Linked DNA regions of Stegostoma tigrinum. The protein of the gene in region 2 interacts with the protein of the main gene of each other region in a biochemical or structural test. Links are inferred from orthologs where the notes say so. Each region holds a gene or a part of one and is shown on either strand. Other genes may lie near its edges.

Evidence for each region. The genes of interacting proteins can lie anywhere in the genome.
Region 1: the proteins of rb1 (region 2) and ccna1 form a complex in vitro, tested with the Homo sapiens proteins (2 studies listed by BioGRID, with this or other methods). The link is inferred for Stegostoma tigrinum from reciprocal best matches to the Homo sapiens genes RB1 and CCNA1.

What each region holds. Positions count from the first base shown.
Region 1 is NC_081359.1:85,062,646-85,066,394, forward strand, and holds the start of ccna1 (cyclin-A1), read left to right. Parts: upstream 1-1,435; 5' UTR 1,436-1,608; coding exon 1,609-1,773; intron 1,774-1,981; coding exon 1,982-2,240; intron 2,241-2,475; coding exon 2,476-2,603; intron 2,604-3,075; coding exon 3,076-3,299; intron 3,300-3,461; coding exon 3,462-3,666; intron 3,667-3,749. UniProt on the Homo sapiens protein: May be involved in the control of the cell cycle at the G1/S (start) and G2/M (mitosis) transitions. May primarily function in the control of the germline meiotic cell cycle and additionally in the control of mitotic cell cycle in some somatic cells.
Region 2 is NC_081365.1:72,796,911-72,800,659, forward strand, and holds the start of rb1 (retinoblastoma-associated protein), read right to left. Parts: upstream 2,961-3,749; 5' UTR 2,818-2,960; coding exon 2,753-2,817; intron 1-2,752. UniProt on the Homo sapiens protein: Tumor suppressor that is a key regulator of the G1/S transition of the cell cycle. The hypophosphorylated form binds transcription regulators of the E2F family, preventing transcription of E2F-responsive genes.

The DNA of each region.
Region 1 (3,749 bases), on a different chromosome or scaffold from region 2:
TCTAGGGTTATGGGGGAAGGGCATAAACATAGTGTTGGAAAACATGTCAGCTACGATCTATTGGTGGAGCAGACTCTATGGGCCGTATGGCCAAATTCTGCTCCTGTATCTTATGGTCTTCACTTCCAAGAAAAACAACCCCAATCTGTCCAATTTTCCAGAATTTATTCTCACATGATTTAGAATTGGTGATGGATGCTGATGTTGATTAACAATGTTTTAATTGTAATGTTAACCCACATAGTTTGACATTGTATTTAAGTTCATTTTAATTGTGATATATGTAGTAGAACTCCCAGCTTCCAATAGTCACCTTATTTTATATTTAATTTTACCTTGTTGATTTTGACTTTAGGCTTGGGTTGTAATACCTGGGGAACGATCCACGGCAAGAGTCAAAACAAACACTTTAATTATTAGATAATAAGGTGTAGAGCTGGATGAACACAGAAGGCCAAGCAGCATCAGAGGAGCAGGAAAGTTGACGTTTCGGGCCTAGACCGTTCTTCAGAAATTGTTAAATTATCTGTTAATAGCACTAATTTGGTGGGGGTTGGGGTGGTTGTGGTAGTTGGTCTTCCTGTTGCCGAATGCTTATTCAGCTAATAAAATGTGAGGCTGGATGAACACAGCAGGCCAAGCAGCATCTCAGGAGCACAAAAGCTGACGTTTCGGGCCTAGACCCTAAGGGTCACATTTTATTATCTTGGAATTCTCCAGCATCTGCAGTTCCCATTATCTCTGCTTATTCAGCTATCTGTATTTATGACAGCCGATTGCATGAAGCATTGGACTCCCGGGTCTGGCACTAAGATCTGCCGACTCTGCACGCTTCTAACGCTTACAATAACCAACTTCCTCGCTAAAAACTAATCCTATGCGATTCATACTTGAAGTCGTACTATACCACTTTGGGCCTATAAATGCAACCCCCACCATTCAGTCCATGATCAAAACCAGCACCAAGCATTTTGCGCCACAAGATTATGTGGAAAAAGTTGTCGTCCATCTTTTGCATATTGTTTTCTACCTCCGATCCCACCCAGAAACTCGTGGAAAATGGGTGAAGCCGGAAAAAGACATTTACAACGGTTCCCGTGGAAGCGCCTTAAGGATTGGATAGATACGGCAGGAAAAGGGTTTCGGATCTTATATTTTGAAAAACAAAGGCCTTCGGAGAAAGTCTCCCCAGTTTTCGTGCCGCATCCTGCGGGGTACAGAATGTCGAGCGCTCAATTCTTTCCCAAAGATGCTACTTCTTTGTCGCCTTGGTAACACGCAGCCGCAGAACATACGGAAGTCAGGTGGCAGCCGGGAGCGTGCTGCGTTACCATGGCACCGGGGAGACGAAGCTCACGTGCGCCAATAACGGAAGGTGATTGGTGCGATTTAATAGACGCGGGCTGCTTGAAAGTAATTTGCTACACGATGGGAGTGGAGGGAGCTGCTTTTCGCCCGGAGACTAATTAGAGTCACTCCGCTATATAGGCTGGCTTCAGGCAAGCTCTTACACACTCATAAGTGTGATCTGAGAGGGTATTGCTTAGAGCTGAACGGCGGAAAAAAAAAATTGTGCGAGCTAATTTTTTTGTTGGTGCTGTTTAATTTATGTATGTAGCCACCATGTACAGGAGTAATTCCGCTGCTGTCAAGCGCAATGCTAATCAAGAAAATCAACATCTTGTCCCGCAGATGGGCCCAGTTAGCCAAAAGCAAAGGACCGTTTTAGGGGTGCTAAATGAGAATGACCAGCAGAGACGTTCACTTTCTCAGGTAACCTCTTCAGTAAATCCGCTATTCCTGGGGCTTCCATTCTCCCCCCCCCCCCCCCCCCCGGAATGTTCGGAGCTCTGCTATTTAAATCTATCGTTTGGAGCTCTTGGGCGATTTCGGCCGTTTTGCAAACTATCTGACCTTGAATTTCCCTTTTCTCCGCACCCCCCCCCCCCCCCCCCCCTCAACACCTAATGCGTTTCATTAGGTTTCAGCGAAAGCTTGCAGCACCATTGCAGTGGGGACTGACAATGGGTTCACTTCGAAAGGCTGCAGCACCCTCTCGGAATATCCGGCTACTTTTGTGTCCAACCCGAACTTCTCCATTTACATGGAGGATGAAGTCCAAGATGAGGTCGAAGTCTCTGAATGTAACTTGACCTCTGAACTGGAATCTAAACTTGGAGAAGTTGGCAACATCTCCAAACCAGCAGACGACTACTGTCTGCTCTTGGATCTGAGTGAAGGTAATTGCGAGACGCGAGCTAAATTTGTTATCGCTCGATTTGAGCTTTTTTTAATCGCGTTGCCTTCTAAAATATAGATTACGTTACTGCATCCGTTTTATTTTCGCTACTAACACGATTGGGTTCAAAACTTTACCATTCGAGTACATAGCCCTAGTTCTACTTTGTACACGTGTTCGAAGCATTCTGTTCCCAAACCTTCATTGGCCGTTCAATGTTTATGTCGTCTGTACAGTCTCGCCTATGATAGTAGATTCATCAATGCGCTCGCAGCGTTCACATGAAGATTCGCATCTACACGTAAATTACCTCGCCGTGGAAGGCTATGCAGAAGACATTTATCGGTATCTCCGAGAGGCAGAAGTGAGTCTCAGCAGCATGCGCTTTAATGTTTATTGAAATAACAACATTTTCGGCTGACTGTATGTCCTTCGCGGTTCTCCGCTGGCTTTGGTCATAGTGCTAGTTGTCCTGAGTTTTTTCCACTTGGGCATTCAAAACTCGCCTGCTGCGAAATCTACTTCGAAACAAGATTTAACTACGAGAAAGTCTGTATCGCTTATGAAACTGCTTTTGTTTCACTCACTCTTAATCTCCAGGCGTCCAACTCCGCTGCAGTTGGACTACAGGAAATAATCTAGTAGCACTAAGCAGTGTTTGTCTGGATTTCAGAGCAGACTTAGACTCGTAGTCTCCGCCCTTCAAATTCGTAGGCTCCCAGTTCATTCCCTGTGGGATGAATTTTTAATTCTGCACCAGGACTTGTCACTCTAGCAATTCGGCTTTTCTCATCCGCCCAACTTGGCGTTAATCGTTGAAAGTGTTTATTTTTCAGGAGAAATGCAGACCGAAATTTGGGTATATGAAGAAGCAACCAGATATAACGCACAGTATGCGCTCAATTCTGGTGGATTGGCTAGTTGAAGTTGGTGAGGAGTACAACCTACAAACTGAGACACTGTACTTAGCAATAAACTACCTGGACAGATTCCTGTCGTGTATGTCAGTCCTGAGGGGAAAGCTGCAACTGGTGGGCACAGCAGCTATGCTGGTAGCATCGTAAGTCTTTCTTTTTTAATTCTAGCGTGGGAAACTTGTCAAGTCGCTATCTGAGCGCAAACTTAAAACAATCGTGGCTGGAGGAATGCGCAGATTGCGTAATCTCGGCAATTTTAATACAAACTTAATCTCGAACGATCAATTTGTACACTTCCCCCCTAGGAAATACGAAGAAATCTATCCCCCGGAAATAGATGAGTTTGTCTACATAACAGATGACACTTACACAAAAAAACAACTCCTGCGCATGGAGCATCTCCTACTCAAGGTGTTGAGCTTTGACATGACTGTCCCAACAGTTAACCAGTTCCTAACGCAGTTTTTGAAAGAGGAAGGGATCGATGGACAAATGGGAAACCTGGCGATGGTATGTATCTTTTTTGCCTGGGTAAAATTCCAGTCCAACTCCTGGCCTTCTACAGGTAGGAATTCTACTCAAATTCTGAGATT
Region 2 (3,749 bases):
CAAGACAAAATTAAGTTATTTGAACATACATGAATAACAGAAATCAAGTGTTTTCCAAAGACAAAAAGAGTTTTTACTACTTTTTAAAAAATTAGTAACAGGTTTTTCATAAGGGTAATATGATTCACGTGGTCCATATGGACTTTCAAAAAGTGTGCACCAGCAAAACTGAAGCATGTGAATAAAAAGGACAGTGCCAGCATGATTTTAAAGTTGGTTCAGTGACAGGAAACCGTGCAATGGTTATGAAGTTGATACGAACAGAAAATGCTATAAACACTCAGCAGGTCAGGCAGCATCTAGAATTAAAAAGAGAGTTAACGTAAGGTTGATGACCTTTCATCAGTGCCTTTCTGGAAGTTCTATATAGTGGAACAAAAGACTCACCCTTACAGCGTCCAATCTGAGAGAAAGATAAAGCCAGCTGCAGAAATAAGCAAATGCAGCATATTTCAAGCAACAGCTTTTGGGCAAAGTAGAAAGGAATAATGGGTTTCTAAGAATAGAACTGGAAGCGCTCTCTCTCTCGCCCTTCCCGTGGTTTCTACCAGCCTTTTGGAAGACATTGTCTGTGAACTGCAAATTGCAGAAGCAGCCATTAACCAAGAAGTCAAAGATATCTACAAATTTTGCTGCTGCTGAGCATTCAAGGCATCAATTAAACAACCATGGTCCCAGATTAAAATTTCTCTTTGGACCTTCAAACGATACATCATTTTCTTGGATAACAAGGTGTAGAGCTGGATGAACACAGCAGGCCAAGCAGCATCACAGGAGCAGGAGAGCTGACATTTTGGGCCTAGACCCTTCTTCAGAAATGGGGGAGGGGAAGGGGGCTGTGCAATAAATAGGGAGAGAGGAGGAGGTGGCTAGAAGATGGATACAGGAGAACATAGGTGGAGAGGAGACCGACAGGTCAAAGAGGTGGGGATGGAGCCTGTAAAGGGGAGCATAGGTAGGGAGGAGATAGGTCAGACCAAGGAGCACGGACAGACAGGTCAGGGGGTGGCGGGATAAAGTTATGAGGTAGGAGATGGGGGTGGGGCTTGAGGTGGGAGGAGGGGATATGTGGGAGGAAAGACAGGTTAGGGAGGTGGGTACAAGTTGGGCTGGTTTTGAGATGTGGTATGGGGAAGGGAGATTTTGGAGCTTGTGAAGTCCATATTGATACCATTGGGCTGCAGGGTTCCCAAGCAGAATATGAGTTGCTGTTCCTGCAACTTTCAGATAGCATCGTTGTGACACTGCAGGAGGCCCAGGGTGGACATGTCATCTATGGAATGGGACAGGGAGTTGAAAATGGTTCATGACTGGGAGGTGCAGTTGCTTAGTGTGAACCGAGCATAGGTGTGCTGCAAAGCGGTCCCCAAGCCTCCGCGTGGTTTCTTCAAAATCTCTCCGCCGTCCTCCCCACGCTCCACCACCACCACCACATCTCAAAACCAGCCTGTCCTTCCTCCCACCTCAAGCCCCACCTCCATCTCCTCCCAACTAACATACACTTTTACTGGCACCATCCCCACCTCTTTGACTGGTCTGTCTCCTCTCCACCTATCTTCTCCTCTATACATTTTCTATCTACCTCCCCTTCTCTTCCTATTTATTTCAGAACCCTCTTCCCACCACCCCCCACCCAATTTCTGAAGAGGGGTCTAGGCCCGAAACATCAACCTTCCTGCTCCTATGATGCTGCATGGCCTGCTATGTTCATCCCGCTCTACACCTGGTTATCTCAGATTCTCCAGCATCTGTAGTTCCTACTATCTGAAACATTATTTTCTTGTCTGTACTTGGCACTTGTCCCCTTTTAAAATGTAAAATCTGTAAGAATACAATGTGTTTTATTGATTTTTCGTCAGACTTAGCAAGTTGCAAAATTCCTTTTTCTTTCACTCACTCAAGAAAACCTTGGAATTAGCTCCTTAATGCTGAACTACCAAACTATGTTTTAAGTGTGAAAGAGTAGTGTGCTAAAACAGAAAGGGAGCCAGTTCAGCCTTTCTCACCTCGTCAACATTTTATCACACTGCTGTTGAAGGGAGTTGCCTGTGAGGAATTGACTGTCAGAAACCCTTCACTATCTTACGGTTCAAAAGAAATTCATCAGGGTATTGCGCTGTCGAGAAAGGCTCTGTATAAATCGAAGTCCTCTTTCCCCTAAAGTAAATTGTGAATTAAAAGGCTGTTGCCAAGGAATGATGCATTATACTATATTCCAGCTACTACCGATTACCCTATATTTGAAGGGTCGTCTGCTAGCTTCTCTGGGTAATGACTATCGTCAAAAACACTACATGTGATAAATACGGTGTTTTGGAAGATTACCCTAATGCTACCTACGGAGGATTATGCCCTTTTTTAACTGCCACAACAGTAGAAATTGGACATTTAGCACAGAGTCGGTCTCACAGAATTAGCACTGAGTCAGCAGTGGGGTTCTGCACCAGGTTACTGCGGTGCTGCGATCCGACTTAAAAGTTCCCGGGGATTTTGCACAATGAAGGAAAAGGCTAGTAGCCAGGTAAAGGGCCACAAAACTGAAGCACAGGGCAACGACAAGTGCAGCGAAAAAGAGAGACAGAAAGATGTCGCGTGGGGGCGGGGATTAGCTGCTCTCGAGAGCCACTTTACAGGTAACCACCCAAGTATTCCCCACACCTCTTGCACCCTCCCAGTGCCCAGGCCGCGGCTGGCTGAGGTGGGAGCTCGGCCGACGAAAGCAACAGCTGCTGCCCTGTTACCCCGTCCTTACCTGGCCGGAGAGATGCTCTCCTCGGAGCCACCAGCGGCCGTTCTCCTCAGCGACTTGGGGGGCATGATGTGTGGACAATGGTGGGTGGGGCTCGGCGGCGGCAACCGTTCAGCTCGCGCTCGAGGCCACCGCTTTCGAATGTTTAAAAGGGTGCAAGATTCTAAACCGAATAGACGCCACCACAGCCCAGAGACCGCGCCAAACTCACGCCGCTTCCGACTTGTGCGTCACTTCCTTAGCAGCGCCGCCAGCCCAGCCACAATGAGTCTGATTCTGGCAGCGGTGAGTCACGTCTTCGCTACATCCATAGTAAACGGTCTAGCTCCGTTATACTTCCAAATGCTCACCGTTCTAATCCCCAGGCGATGGCGTTTACTCCGTTCGACAAAGACGATTTGGAAAAAGGAAACGAAAGAATACGGATGCTGTAAATCAGGAACAAAAAAAACAGAAGTTTCTGGAAAAGTTCAGCAGGTCTTGGAGTTGAAAAAGATATTCAGATGATTTTGAGAATTCTCGAGGCTGAGCGGTTTGAAACGGTCAACCCTTTGTTAGGAAGCAGAGGTCGAACCCCTCTTATTTAAAATCGAAACACAAGCCTGCAAATCTGTTAAGGCAGGAGTCGAGGTTCCTTTCGAATAATTAAACTGGAAACATTCCGAGAAGCTCGCCTCACCTCACCTAAAAGGGAGTAAACTTAGAGAAGGGGCAGCTAAATGAAAGAAAAACCATGATATTTGTTTTATAAGTAATAATTTATTTACTTAACCCTAACAGTGAACAAACTAACAGAATTACAACCAAACTGCACAATTCCCCTTCACTACTATTCCCTAACTGAACTGAATTCTACTGCTATGCTGTTCCAAAAATCACAAGTCCCACTTATATAAACCCAAGTAATAAGAAAATAATTTAAAATTTACTCTGTCAAAGTCTAAGTATCTTTCTTCTGTCGTTCTCCAGTCGTAAATGTCTTTCTTCCGCTGATCTGGCT